Linked DNA regions of Stegostoma tigrinum. The protein of the gene in region 2 interacts with the protein of the main gene of each other region in a pairwise test. Links are inferred from orthologs where the notes say so. Each region holds a gene or a part of one and is shown on either strand. Other genes may lie near its edges.

Region 1 (8,098 bases), on a different chromosome or scaffold from region 2:
ATCCTCAAAATTTAACTATTGCATTTTCTCTGCGTTTAAATACAACTGATGTCCTTTCCGCCAATCTACCAAAAAAAATTATTTTCTTGACTGAAGAACATCATCTAGAGATGTTTACCAATACACTTAATGTTCATACAAGAAAACAGAATATCTAGACTGGGACAGTTTCCAACGTACAGCCGTAAAGGCAGGCTGACCGGCAGCTTTTGAAGTTGGAATGTAAGATTACATTTACGACATAGATAAAAGTTGATAAGTGAAAAATGCATGATGGTGTTTAGTTAAGGAAAAATGACGCTGCTAACAAGTGTTTTAACCAAAAACAAGGTTTTTCTGCCGGTCTAAGGACGCTAAAACATATTTACTTTGCGTTTTCCATAAGACATTGCCTAACTGCAAATCCTGGCGAAAGACCTGCCCAGGAAGCTGGGAAGCTATCAGAGATTATCCGGCTATTTGTTTGAAATTTTGGAATGAAACAACTCTGTGTTTGCCCGAATTAGTCTCGTCAGTTATTTTTCCATTGTTAACCAGAGATGCTGGTTAGGATTTACTTTTCATTTGTTTCAAAGTTTAATATTGTGAATTATGAAATATCGGACATTTAAATATACAATAGAATGGACCGGAACATTGAGTGAAAATATAAATAAATCGCTAGCGCACGCTAAAACAGGTTACCTGTTTTATCTTCCTTTATCCTCTTAAGGACTTCACACGTCAACCTTTGAGAACTACAGTAAAATGATCCCTAATTAAAACTTCAACTACTAAATCAAAATACAAAAACTCCAACAACTCCGAAACGTAACACATTCATTTTCTGAGTGTGGTGTTAAAAATGGTAAATACAGAAATGTTAGGCTGTCGTAGGAACTAATAGTAAAATGTCAATCGGGATCAATTTCTTATATTTTTTTCAGATATGTAAATGTCACGTTAAACACAAATGTTCCTGAAGTAGTCACGAATGACTTAATTGGAATAATACGGGCCTATAAATGTGCCGGTTATTTTTATATTTCTTTTTGAAATAGGTCGAAATTATCCCAGCAGCAGGTCTCTCTGTTTCACTTGTTACCAGGCAATTTGATCCCTTAATCCCTGTGCTCTGTAGTGATTAATCACGTCCCTGGGGCTGAAACGGTAAACGCGGGGGCATCCAAACAAATCAATCCCCCTTTTCACCCCGTGCGCAATTATCATAACGAGGGTGTTATAGCTTTGAACTAGCCGGCTCTTTGATTTGTTGAACGTGGAAAAACAAGCAGGAAGCCAATTTGTAGTAAGAATAATCAGTGTTCAGAGAAAAGGGGACAACAAGAATGGCTTGCTTTAACAATGATTGTTCAGTTAAAATAGCATCCAGATTGTTGCAGTCACTGCATATTGTGCTGCTCTTTCTCCTTGTTCCCTAAACCAAAGTCTGTTCCTGCCGCTTATTGGGCATTGGTTATTCATGCTCGCGGCGTCAAGAAATCCTTTTCAACTATTTTGTGACAACTAACGTTCATTGATTGAACACCGTTATTCTCATCGTCATATGGGACATGAAGGTGAAGAGGCATAACGGGATGCTATTAAATTCTAAATATAATTGGTCACTTTTTTTAAAAATGACGTATTTGGCAGCAAGCAAATATTTAGAAAGCGTTTGTTAAACACGCCAGCATTTCGGTATGCGCCGTTCCCGCGGTTTGGTTTAAATTCTCAATAGCTAAATAGCCATTTTCCGACATTCGCGCTCTTAAAGAGGAGCCGGGCACTGTGTGGTATGGAAACATCTGTTTGATGTTTGGTGTAAATGTAGCCCACCCGATGTTCCTATCGAATGGGTCGGCTGTAGATTTTGCGAAATCCTTATCCCTACCGGGAAGCAAAGTCATTCCCATTTCACAGTCTCCCACCATTCCTGGAATAGTTCCACAGAAAGCAGTAACCTGCCGACCGCTGAAATAGCTGCAGCAAACTGGGAACATCGAGAATAGTTCACGTCCCGTTTTTGGAATAGATACAACAAACTAGAGGCATGAATGTCAATTATGTGAAGTCCTGCCTTTTGTAAACCACCTTGTCCACTCTGCGTTTCACAGTATCTTTCCTTGAGTGTAAGATCTCTGTGGCCCGATAATGTCCCCATCAATGCTTGGCTGTGTTTGAAAAAATACTTAAATGAGACAACGGTTCAGCTATTTTGCCAAGAAATGCAACAAGACAATACCTGTTTAAATTCAGAGGACTACAAATGTCGTGAAGCGACGCAGCATTTCACGTGAGGTGTTAAAGTTTAAAAAAAATAAACCTGACGCCTAATTTCGAGTGACTGCAACAATACAAGAATATTCCTGCACTGCCTTTATTACAGCCGAGGGGATACCTATGCGAAACAGTGTGTGCTATAATTTCACGCCGCTCATGTACACGGAGCGAAGAAAACCCTGGTCTGTGTGAATTTCCTACCCGGTCGCTGAGATAGCATGGAATCCGCAGGTGTCGTTTCGTCAGGTCTGCTTCTGCCGGCTGAGTACACGCTATCGGAAGGAGCCGAGCCCTCGAATCTCTCGGGGGCTGGATACATTGCTCTGTAATCCTCAGATAAAACCAGATTGCAAGGATTCTCGTTGCTTTGTTGCCTCCTGAGAGCCACCTGCGCGGCCATGACTCTCTGTCTTTCCAAGATGAGGATGCACTTGTCACATGTGCAGTCTTTGAAGCGGCAGTAGCGTTTGTGGCCCTTAAGCCAGGACAACACCCCGTGATTCCGGCACCGTGCGCACTTGGGAGTTCGCTGAGCTGGTGCTCGGGAAGACGCGGTGGGTACGTACAGATATGGAGCACCATAGCTATTCATGGTAATCACTCTAAAGTTGTGTTTTTAACAACGAGAGGTTCGATGCTCCCCTCAATTCCTTTCTCAAAGGTGAAAATCGCACGGGAGCAAACGCAAATCTGAGTTCAAGAGCGGGAGCGCGTATCCCAGCTGCAGCGCCTCGGTTTTATAAAGCAGTTATTTCAAGTCAATCAAGTGAAACGACTTGTGTGAAAGGATTGAAAATCATTTTTCCTCCGCAAACCTCTCCCCCTTCATTCTTTGAGAAGAGTTGAAAGCAACTCCACAATCAAACAATTCTAAAAGATTTCAAGTGTTTGGAGGAGGTGACATAGGTGCCGAGATAGGGCGGGGCGCACTCCATTCAAAAGGGATTAAAAATAAACGAGGGAGCTGGAAGCGAGGTAATAGAGCTAATGGATCACTTCATAGAGATCCCCTTTCACAATTAGACTTCCCAATTCTTATAAAATGGATGTACCCCACTTCCAAAATATATATTATGAATTGTCAATTTTCACTTCATTTTTAACTAAACTAAGAATGGTATGGGATATCGATTTCCATTTGGCCCTAAAGTAAATCAGTTTTGCGCAACGTTTTTGTATATCTGGACTTTGTCTTTAAAATGTGGAAGGGAAGAAGGAGCTAGTTATCTCATTTTGAGATGGAACTGAGGGCTAATCAATGCATTGGTTAAACTTGGACACGTACGTGTTCTTCGGGTTATCTGCCACGATACTTCACCTTATATCCATATTCTCTGGACAATCCCTGCACTGGACACTGCATGCAGTCACTTCCTTCTGCAACATTTAATTCATACATAAGAAACAACGCTGATTCGAAGTGGCAGAATTTATGCCGCATGATTTCACATACATGGAAACAACACACCTGAAACCCGTGAGAAAGTGCTCCTCTGGGAACTAAGCCATCGTCTGATTGAAGTCAAACAAAATGAAACTTTATTCGAGGGCATATGAAAGAGGCTTGAAAGCATTATTGATAAAGTGCGTTAAGCACTTGTACGTTGGAAACAAGGTGTTGGTGGTTTTAGGGGAGGGAGGGCTGCCAGTGGCCGGGGGTGGTGGGGATAGCATGTCTGACGCACAATTCCCTATCTGCCTCAACCCTCTCTGCTTAGCAGCTTGTCTTTTTTCTGTTACTTCAGTCTTTGCTCCTTGGTTGCTACTGAGCAGCGACATTGTCCTCCTGCGCCTCTCACCCCCTCCCTTCATCCTCACTGCTGAAATCAAGGTTCGTTCATTGCTTACTGCAACTCATTCTGCCCCGAAATGACTAAACTGGCGAACTCCACGTTCCATTCCTCCTGCATTCTTCAGGTTTTTTAAAAAGCTCAATTTAGTGTCACTCACTGTCACTTTTCAATTTTGGTTGTGCACAGAACTTGAGTCTTTTCACTTAGTTTCTTAATTTGAATAAACGCATTCGTTGTAATTATTTGAAGGTACATAAAGTTTACGTTCGGAATGTAACAGCTCCGTGGTGTTGGAATACAATCGTTGTTTTGTCACTTGGTTTCGTTTTAGCTCGTTAACCTTTGCTACTCTCCCTCACCACCTGCTACTTTTCAATATGATATTTTAAGTGGCCTTTCGCCGAGAGATCAACGATATCATTTACTTCAAAAATCACCATAATTCAATAGGTTTTATTTCTCTGTTCACCTGGAGATCATTGGTTAAGTCTCTCTGAAAAGGACTTACTTTTAATCCATCGGTTTTTTTTTAGTTGAAAACGCTGGGCTAACCCAGGATCTCCTTGAGGTTAAAGAGGTAGATAAAACTGGCCAGAATCAGAATTCAGATATTAAATGGTAAGTGGTCATTAGTAAAGGCGAATTTATTGGTCAGACTGTTTAATCCTTCATGTGGATCCAGATAATTTGACTTCAAATATAAAACCTGAAATGTGAGGCAGGTGATTCGATCGTAGTCTTGCCCGTAATGATAACCAGAATCACAGCGTATTTGGTCCAGGGAATATTGTATTTAACTAGGTATCCAGAACTTGCTCGGGTTAAACGATCCCACATCATTCGCACACTGTTAGAACAGTAAATAATATAAACATTCGTTACTTTACTCCCAATTGGATGCACAAACTACGCATGACTAAATGTAAGAAAAGGAAATGTTAGAAATACTTAGCAGATCAGACATCTGTGACGACAGAAAAAGCATTTTCTTAGAACTGAGAAATGTTTCGAGATGTGATTAAATGGCATCTACCTGAAACATCTGTGTATACGAATGCTGCCTGGCCTGTGGAGTATTTCAGACTTTTTCGTTATATCTGTGAATAATTGTTAAATTCCAACCGGTTAAGTTGCTCTGTTGGCATGTTAACGTGGAGTTTGCAAATAACGAATCTGGGCTTTGCCCTAATTTTCCCATGCTAACAGAGTTGCTACTTCCAGGGATGGTTGACTCCTAACTCATTCGCTTCATTATCTATTTGTGTTGAAAATGTTGGAAAAATCAGCAGATCTGGCAGCATCCGTGGAGGCACAAACAAAAGGAACGTTTCCAGTCTGATGTGAGGCTGAGAACTTCGTCCCTACTGTGGATTTTATAGCGAAGAATGCACCGGGGCGGCAGTTATTAAGGAAGTCAACTAAATTGATAAATTCACTCGATAGTAGAGCAGACGCACCCCTATAGTCTCGTTCAACATATACGGCCAACTAGCCGAGACAGCCAACTCTTTTTCCTTCAAGAACCCAAAGTCCTGCCCTCATTACTAAAGTGATTGAAGGGACGTAAATGTGAAAACGCTACCACATTTCTGCAGTTCTCCTTAAAGAGTTTGTAGTTTCACAACAGCCTTTTTTTATTGTAAGGTTTTACCGCTTTTTTCAATCACCTGAAAAAAATCCAGTTTGTAGTTTTGACTCTGCAGTAATTTAAGTTCCTTTCTTTACACAATACTGAGTATTATGAAAAAACGTTAAGAAACTAGCTTTAGAATCAGTTCCATAATTTAGCCTAACACTTCATTACTGCCGAACGCCACTCAGTCTGACACAGGTATTACTCAAGGTTAACATAAACTGAGTTAGATCGTGGAAATTTTGCACATGATATATGCCTTCGTCACATGCTTCCATCAGTCATTTCAATAATTCCACTTTTAAATCAAAAGTATTTGTTGTTATATCGATACAGAAATAAATATCTGATCAGGTGTTTTAATGTACCAAGCACAACAATGTTTGCGTTATATTTTTAGAATTTCGATTTACCAGGTACATGAGATAATTCAAAATTGTAGTCTTTATTTCAGCTTGGAAAAAATGCAATTCCAAAGTTTAAATTGATAGCTGTCTAAATTTGAAACCAGGGTAACTATTTGTACACATATTGGTATTTTAGTGCACAAACCTTACCTGTAGGAGACCTCTGTAGATTCTTTTAGTGAACATTTGTATTGATCAGAAGGTGAAGGGTAATAGAATAACCTTTCCCTCTTTGACTGACTGTTTTGTTTGGGCTGGCCAGTTGAAAAATAAATACATGATGCGTATTGCCACATCAGTATTTTGTTCTAGTAATAATGATCGTTTTAAGAATTCAAAATGAACAGTTAATAGCATTAATTCTTTCTCTTAAGAGTACAATTTTCAGCTCTTATAACATATTCTATCATCTTTTCCAGTTAATTTGCTACCCTTCAATTACAAAGAGAATGACATATGTTCAGGCAGTCTAGTGTCTTGGTGAACAATGTCTCTTTGATATCTACAAACCTGTGCAATGGCTTTTAACATTATGAGAGCATCATAAAAAAAAGTTAATGGCATGAAAGTATCTCAAGAGGGCTAGAATGTAAAGAGCTGGGAGTTCTGTGATGGTTGTGTGGGATTTTGGTTAGACCCTATTCACATTACTGCATTCTTTTCTGGCTTTTCAAGCTGTATTTATTGGGCTTAAAGCACGTACAGCACTGGTTTACCAGAATTATACCTGTGTAAATATGATTAAGTTATGAGGACTGACTGCGAAGTCCAGGCATTTAAGTGTAAAAAGTTATCTGATTCAAGTGTTTAAAGGATACGTTAAATACATAAACATTTTCCTCTAGTGGGAGAGTTTATAGCCAGGATATAACCTTAAAATTAGAGTGGCCATTGAGGAGTAACTTTAGAAAATACTTCTAAACACAATGTAGTGGAAATCTGGAAGGTTATCCCTCAAAGAGCTGTGAGATTGACAAGTGGCAGATGACATTAGTGGGACATAAGTATCGGGCCATGACCATCTCCAGCATCCCTGACTATAAATATCCTGGGGCTACTACTGGCCAGAAATTAACCGAACCAACCATATAAATACTTTGGCTACAAAGCCAGGTCAGAGACTGGGAATTCTAGGACAAATAGTTGACCTTCTGAATCCTGAAAACCTCTCCAACATCTACAAAACACAGTCAGTCATGCGTGGAATATTTACCATTTAACAAGTCAAGCACCATTGCAACAAAGCAGAAGCTGGTGGTGTAATGATCAGGAGGCTGTGGCATGATGGTAACATTTTTGGACATGTAATCCAGAAACCCAGACTAATGTTCTGGGTACCTGGATTCCAATTTGACTGTGGTAGGTGGTGAAATTTGAATTCAATAAAATCTGGAATTGGAAGCTAGCCAAATGGTGATCATTTAACTACTTAAAACCCATTTCAGTCATTCATTTTCTTCAGGGAGCAAACTTTGCCATTCTTACGTTGTCTGGCTTTCATGTGGCTCCAGATTCATAGCAATGACCCTTAACTGCCCACTAAGTATTTAGGGATGGACTGGCAAAAATACTGGCCAAGCCAGAGACACCCAGGTGTCATGTACAAGCTAACTAAATGCAGCCCACCTCATTGGCACCCCATCCACTAACTTTAATATTCACTTCCTCCATCACTGATATACAATGACCCAAATGTAAACTGTACTGCAGCAACTTACCTATTCTACTTCAACAGTATTTTCCAACCCATTACCTCTATCACATAGAAAGGTGCACTGTTAGTACTTTATTAGTACCGATGCAATTTCTAATGAGATACCATCGCTGTTGAGTGAGCCTTCCTGGAAAACGACAAAAATTGAACTGGATATGGAACATGTCAAACCAATTTTCTTTAGAAAATCAGTGAATTTGCAGGTTACCCAAATAGAGCATTGTTGCATACTCATAAAAAGGCACAGTATTTCTAGACAGAATGTTACAGAAACTTTAACGGTATCAGA
Region 2 (8,021 bases):
GTTTTACTGGGAAGAGATTCAGATTGTTCACACCTATGGTCAATGGCAAAAGTATCAGTGGCTCTGGGCTGGAATTTGTTCCCCAAATCCCAAAAAGAAACTAGCAAACTACAGTCAAGTTAGCCTAATGGCTGTCATTGTGAAAATGCTGGAGCGCATTATTAAGGAAGAAATGGCAGGGCATTGACGAAAGCTTAATGCAATAAAACATAATCAACAAGATTTTGTTACAGGGAAATCACGTTTGACAAATTTGCTGGAGTATGTCCAGGTTCTTTTAATTTTTTCAGAGATGGATAGCAGTAAATAGGTTAATGTAATGGCACTTGACATAAAGCTACATTTACCTTCAGATTTGCTACCTAATTGTCTAATGCCAAAAGGTGAGTCTCCCACTCTCTTGCCTGTAAGCTGTCCGCCAAAGGAGGTCATTATAAAACAGAGGGTGAAGAATCCAATTCCAGCCACAAATAACCTAGAATCAAGCAGAGAGCATATCAGACTAACGTACAAGTTTTTGCTTTATAGTTAGCTAGTATATGAGAATACTAGAAATATAATGTGTTCTATATTGTATACTTGATTACACGTATACTGTTGTCAATTTACAATTTTACTTTATTCACTTGTACACTTTGACTGTTTGCTTAAAAGTATGACCATACTTCATTCTAACTTAGTAACTCATAATTGGATTCAACAGCATGGTGGTACTATGTGACCTGCTGAACGGCATAATGTAGTAAGAACAATAGATGTACTTCTGCTGTCCATGCACATATACTAAATCTTAAAAATTGGCATAATGCTTCTGAGGTGGCAACTTATTTCTAACATATTTTAAGAAAACACATTTTATGTTTGATACTAAGCAATAAATGAACAGTACCATTTATTTAATCAATGTTTAGGCTTAGATTCATTCTAGGCTAGCCCTACATTTAATTGTTGGCTTTCAGGCAGGAGATGAAGTAGGTGAGCAATTTAAAAAATGAGAGGGATTGTGTAGCAGCACATCCCCAAATTATTTATTCTGACATATGTCTGCTTCTATGCCTACCCTAGAAGGACTCTGGTATAACGGTGATCCTATTACTTTTGTCACTGTACCACATGTTGACAATGAAATTAGATCAAGTCCAGCTCCTGAAGAATATGTAGGTATTAAGTACGTGAGGCTGAAAGTCATCAAAAGGTACAGGAACATTCTCTTATTTATGTATTTTGTTTCCCAGAAGTACTTTCCCTAAAAGCAGTGAATTCCTGCCTCTACAATTTTAAATTTCTGGCAATAATAATTAGGTCAACTTCTGCATTTTCTTTTAAATATGAAATACACATCTTTTTCTCTATCATTTGGATATTGTTAAACAGGTCCTCTTAAATTTCAGATCAACACACAGAAACAGAAATGTCTGTTCAACAATAACAATAACACTCTAGAGCATCCTTTTTGAATATGTTCCTAGCTGTATGCGGTGAATTTGCAACACAAGATTAATCAATTGCTTCACAAAGTTCATCAATTGAAGAAAGCATTCTTGTTTTGCCATGCAAATTACTGTAATTAATATCAATGTAATTACGACCAATATTTTAAAATGTACCCTTTCTGAAATTCAGTTTTAATGATTTTGCAAGATTATCAGTTTACATATTTACGTAACATTTCATACACTGATATTTTATAGATTTGTATTTTTAACTGTTACTGAACAAACGTCAAGCTCCATCCCCTCCCCCGGCCCTAGCTATATCCTTGAACATGTACTTAACACCATGACCCCATGGAAATAGCATGGAGAAACAAGATCAATCACACCAGGATGTATTCTGAAACACATGTGGCATCTCATAGTGGGAAGGTGAGTGATTTCAATGTGACTAGCCGTCTCCTGGTGCCCGCACCCATCAGCCACAACTCCACACCTTACCCTCTATGTTTTAAATGTAACTTTCCACGAATGAAAAACAGAGAATATGGTATTGTCTGCCTCTCATAGATTCATCTCAAACTCAATTGCTACATTGAATAGAAAGCATCATTTGAATTAGGGTGGTCCCAGAGCATTGCAAACGTAAATACTGTAAGTGTTGCCAGCATGGAAAGCTGTCTTTATACTGAAATGACAAACATTAACTGAGATTCATAACCATATAATCTAGACCAGCAGCAGTTACAATGAGATTAAAGTGTAAGTTTTGCTTGACACAAGCATTGATCACAAGTGTTCCACACAAGTCATATCAATCATCAATACTAAATTATTTTATATGTGTAATTGAAAACAAAACTTGAAGGTAAACTTACCTGAAAGGCCTTAAGGTTACAAGAAACCTTCTCACCATTATTTTACCATCTGAATTTGTAGAATTTTTTGAAAGCAAAAACATCTTTCTGTCAGTGAAACATAAATATTATCTAATATAAACTTGATTAATTTGAAGATATTTAATTAATCAATATTTAATATTGTCCTTAGAACCGAATTAATAGGCATCAGGTGATTTTTTTTCAGGTCAGACCAAATAAAATCCATTCACAACTTTTGATTTGCTGATTTAAAACAAATCTGCCAGGTTTCCTATCTCCAGAGTGAGTCCTTATTCAAGCTGAAGTGATGCTGCTCCTAGCTCTATGTTGACTTTTTCAGGAAGTAGTGATGAATACAAGATGCCGAAGATAATCCAAAATTAACAGTTAAACAAGAATCAAGGAGACTGCAGGTGAAAAAAAGCACATTAGTTGCTTGAAGATTTCCTCCTCTCATGATCAGAGCTTGCTGTTATTCACAGCCACATGACTATTGCATTGACACACTTAGGCAGGGCATCCTCATAGTCCCTCGGGTGAGATTCATACTGATTTTTGCTCAACCGCCAGATCTAGTACAAGCAGCCACCAACAACCTCGGCATTCAACCCCTTGGACAAGTGAATAGGGTTGGGGATAAAAGGCTGACTGACAGATCACAATCCAACCAGGATAGCTGGAATACATCAGCCTCTCTATCATAGCTGCTTTATTTCCTTTACAAAGCATGAGATGTTACATTATCCTGATGCAACAACAGTGCTAGAGCATCACCTAGTGTTCTGGGGATAGTTTGTTCCTACATTAATTACTTTGTATTTTAGCTGAATAGATTCTTACCTAAACAGGTGCTGTGTGTTTTCTACATTACGAGTAGTGCTAAGATTCTGTAAAAGACAAGAAAACAGGAAGCCATAAATGTTCACGGCAGCAATTTTAAGACAAGAAAAAATCTGAAATTGCCATTAATATTATCTTTTATATATTCATAATCTCAAATATAGTAATGATTCAGTCATAAATATCTTCTCATAATAGAAAACAAAGCAAATTTTTGAAATTTTTAAGGAATAATCCACCATACATGAATTTCATCTTATTTGGAATCATGTATCTTACTCACCCTCATGCTGTCTCAATGGTGATCTGGCTTGAAGTTAGGAAAGAGCAAATGATCCTTCAGATATTTGTTCACACTCCACAATAGCATAATCATGGGTCTACTGGTATGGTAGACTCGGTAGCTAGCCTATTGTATTTAGAATTATGTTGTCAATTGTCAATGATTCTGAGAAAACTGCAGGTGGCAGTAATGTTCAGCCGTTGAATTTCTGTGCTTGTGTAAATTTTGTCTTATATAGGCTGAATGAAGAAGCAGAAACAAACCTTTTTATCGTTGGTCCAATTTTAAAGGCATGCTTTTTGGTGAAATTATTGACCAATGTGATTTTGCATTTTATTGGTGGCAAAGTTTCAATTTTAATTCTCATTTATGTGAATCTCACATCAGGACTCATTAAAAGGATGCCAGTGAGTGAAACTTCATAGAATCCCTACAGGGTGGAAGCAGGCTATTCGGCCCAACTAGTCTACACTGGCTGTCCAAAGAGCATCCCATCCAGACGTATCCACTTAAACTGTCCCTGTATACCTTCATGTCCCATGACTATTCCATCTAACCTACACGTTCCTGAACACTATGGGCAATTTAGCATGGCCAATCCACCCACCGTACACACCTATAGACTGTGGGAGGAAACCAGAGCAACTGAAGGAAACCTACGCAGACACGAGGAGAATGTGCCAACTCCACACAGATAGTTGCCCAAGGCTGGAATTTTAGCCACATCCCTGGCAGTGTGAGCCACCATGCCACCCTTCATTGTTTGCTGAGAAGCATTTCAAACTTAGATGCTAAGAATTTTTTTAAACCAATTAAATCAGTTTGGTTGCTATTTCATAATATAATAATTTAGGTGGTAAGTCCCCAACTCCCCCACGATGTGAACACTGGCAAGACAGTTGGGAAAATATGGCAAGATCAGCAAAAATTAAATCCTCAACGTCAAGAAAAAGGAATCAGATTCTGCAATCAGGTTTTGAACAACATAAGAAGCATACTAGTGAGCAGCAACAGGTCACCTTGTATAACGATAATATGCTATCACACCTAATCTTACCTCATTGAAATGCAATTTCCTGTTCTCCTAAATGCCGAAAATAAATTAGACAGCGACAATTCCTGACATGAACTTTGAAACAGATATCTGGCAACCTCAATCACCTGCATGCTCCTCCAGGCCACCATCTTGGAATCAGTCATCTGCATCTCCGGGCGTGTTCCACGGGCATCGACACCACGTAGCCAATTCAAAGAGGTTGGCATCAGTCACATGCCAATCTCTTTGCATCCGCATGGCACATATCCAACTAACTTGCAATATGGTTCTGCACTCCAAATTTTTACTGTAACGCTGCTTGAAAAGCGCAGAGTCAGGCACCCATCTCATGAATTAAACCAGGGAACATCTCTGGGTTCCTTGCTTGCTTTCTTAAACCCCATTCACTCTGCATCTACTTAAAAGCTCACAGCATCATTGCTTGCCTTGTTTTCTTTTCACATTGCCCACTCATTCTGAACTTAAAGGCTGATGGTTTTTCTGCCTTGCCTTGCCATTTAGTGCAGGCACAACACCAGGTAGCTTGTCCTAGTTGTAAGAAGTGATGAGTCAAAAAGATAGACATGATCCTGTACAGCACCGTGTTATTTCAATGTCACACCCATAATATGATACAGCAGCTCACTAGGCAAACACACTGCATGTGCTTCAGCCAAATCACCATATCTGAAAGTCTAACAAGTGTAGACCTCAGTTCATTAAAGGGCGACAACAGTAGTTGGAGGTTACCAATATTGCAAGTCAACGAAAGTTGGGCTGTCAATTGTGGAGGTTGGATGCTGCTGGCTGGGATGCAAAGAGGACAATTATTGTGATGGGGGAGAATCTCAATATATAAGAAGTGCAGACGATAGTGCATTTGAGAATATGAGTTACTGTGGAAGAAGGGGTTGTCACTTCACTGCAGCTGCAGACACCATGCCTGCATCTAGATGTAGAGGAGTGAAAGGCACAAGACCTTACAAGGGCATATTAATAGCGTACATGATATTTATTATAAATGCATTATCATATTTGTAAATAGAGGCAGATAGAATGGAGACAGACCTTTCAGTCATCTGCGCCGATCAGACATCCCAATCTGACCTAATCCCATTTGCCAGCATTTGACCTATATCCCCTTAAACCCTTCCTATTCATGTACCCATCCAGATGCCTTTAAAGTGTTGATTACCTTTCATTATCAGCAGGGTGAGTCAATTGAGTTTTAGCAGCGACTGTAAGAATGAAGGCAGAGAAACTAGCCATCCTTAGCACCACAAGATGTTCAAGCTATCCTTAAAAGATAGCTGTCCTTTCCATAGCTACCACAATTCAGTGAGGGAGCATTGGATGTTGCGAAGGCTTCCATTCATTTGTAACCTTAACATCTATTAAATAGCATGAGTCACATCGAAGGATCAAAACTTTAAGCTGCGCTTACAGTCATGATTATACGTGGGATATTGGCCTCAGCAGCATAAATCATTTGCAGTCAGTGAAAGATGACTTTGCACAGCTCAATTTCATTGAATGGTATTCACAAACAATGTCCTGCCTACATTGATTTGGTCAATGCTTCTGTGCTGTATGATACTGCAGGCACGGTTCCATCTAAGGAACATCCTCATGTTCTCACTCGGCGCAATGCCTCAGCTTTCGTAGATCCCCATTGTCCATCCTATAGCCACAGTACACCCTCCAGTTATCCAAAGCAGAGATTCTGGTTCAAGTAGTATCTGCAATCTGGATGGTAAGGTGCCAACGCCACAGGCATGACTTGCAAGGACGTCTGACATGGAAAAACCATTCCATGAGCTTCAATGACCATGACTGGATACACTGGAGAGCACAACATGTAATTCTGATCTCCAGTTCTGGACAGAAATTTCTTTTTCTTGACTTTTTAATACTTATTTTCTAATTTGTCATATTTTCCCAACTGACTTGTCAATGTCCACATCGTTTGACAGAAGGAAAGTTTGGCCCTATGGTTTACAATGAAATTCATGGCGTATTAACCTATTTGAACCAACTGTAGCATTTGCAGTAAAATGCTGCAGTGGTACTATTGTACTTTTTAATTTAAAAGTTAAATGTTTTGAAATTCTAAAGTATGATCAATTTGCAATTGAAATGTTTTCTTCCTCCATTATGCATAAGGAAAAATTCCACCCACAGGACTCCTCCAGTATCAAGTTTCTGACAATAAACGTTTTTTATCATTGCTTCTAGGTATGCAGTTAAACAAGGCCTCAAAGATTATGTTTTCCCACTTACTATCAAGATGTTAAATAGTTTTTATCTATAAAAGATGCTGTTTTCAGGATACTAAGGAAAGCTGAGAAACATGCAATTGGAGTAGTTTTCTTATTTAAAAAAGTTTTTCAGCAAAACACAGAGTAAATTATTATGTTACCTTTGCAAAGCACCTTTAATGAAATATTAACATTTGAACTCACTGCATGTGAGCATGATTAAACATAATTTGACACTGTCACAAACAGATACTAGGGTAGGTAATCAAAAAAATTTGTCATTAATAAAGTATTAGGGAGCAACCTAAAAGGGAAGAATGTAGTGAGACACTAGGTTTAGAAGGGGAACACTGAAGATATGCCCCAAAAATGATGGAGCAAAGAAAATTTGGATTGCAGAATGGTCTACAATTAGAGGAGTTCAGAGAGCTTGATGTGGAATGTTTAGAGATATGGAGGGCTGAGTCTCCAAAATACTGGAAATGGGATTTTAAATTTGAGACATTAGCAGATTAAGATCAATCAGCAAGCAGCTGTGCAGAGAGTAAGAGAACTTCATATGGGAGGATGAACTTAGTGAATATAATGTGGGAGTTTGGCAAGAAGACTGTTAGAATAGTCAGGTTTCTGGATCACAAAAGCATGTACAAGTGTTTCAATAATAGAGCACCTGAATTTGATGGCAACTAAAGAAGTAGATTTGCTCTGAACTCTTGTAATGTAAACAACTTTCTACATTGGAGCTGTAGGTCTATGTATATTCAAGTATAAGCCTCCTAATGCCATGCATCTTATAAGGATGAGTTATTGAGTCACAGACATTGATGCACAAAGTTCAGTGCCTTGTATGGAAATCTATTGCTCTTAAAAACTGATATCCTACAATGTATGCATGTCTTATCAAGGACTACTCTGCATTTAAATATGTTTTCTGGACCCCAAGATTTGTCATTAATCTATAATTATTGAGACTTTCAGTTCACAGTTGCATAGTTGAACTTATTAAATGCAAAGCTGTGTAGCAGACAAAAGCTTTGTCACAAAACATCTCACAGTCCAATTCCACAGATTGTCTCAAATTGCATAAAAAAGCCAACATCTTGACTGGCAAAGGAAGGCAGAAGGCATAGACTGAATGGTTTGTCGTAAGGAAGAATGAAAAACAAGTGAGTCACAACAGATCACTGTCACTCTTATCCTAGCAACTAGTTTCAGACTCAGCAAACTTCATGCTCATAGCTGAATTGGGTCGAGGATATTTACGAAAGGGAGAACTGCATTCTACTTTAA

What was found.
Region 1: the proteins of alpha-1,6-mannosylglycoprotein 6-beta-N-acetylglucosaminyltransferase B (region 2) and dmrt3a interact in a two-hybrid assay, tested with the Homo sapiens proteins (2 studies listed by BioGRID). The two-hybrid records come from large-scale screens. The link is inferred for Stegostoma tigrinum from reciprocal best matches to the Homo sapiens genes MGAT5B and DMRT3.

The regions. Positions count from the first base shown.
Region 1 is NC_081361.1:42,214,309-42,222,406, forward strand, and holds the start of dmrt3a (doublesex- and mab-3-related transcription factor 3a), read right to left. Parts: upstream 3,088-8,098; 5' UTR 2,855-3,087; coding exon 2,464-2,854; intron 1-2,463. UniProt on the Homo sapiens protein: Probable transcription factor that plays a role in configuring the spinal circuits controlling stride in vertebrates.
Region 2 is NC_081375.1:32,599,419-32,607,439, forward strand, and holds the start of alpha-1,6-mannosylglycoprotein 6-beta-N-acetylglucosaminyltransferase B, read right to left. Parts: upstream 3,002-8,021; 5' UTR 2,395-3,001; coding exon 2,312-2,394; intron 476-2,311; coding exon 348-475; intron 1-347. UniProt on the Homo sapiens protein: Glycosyltransferase that acts on alpha-linked mannose of N-glycans and O-mannosyl glycans.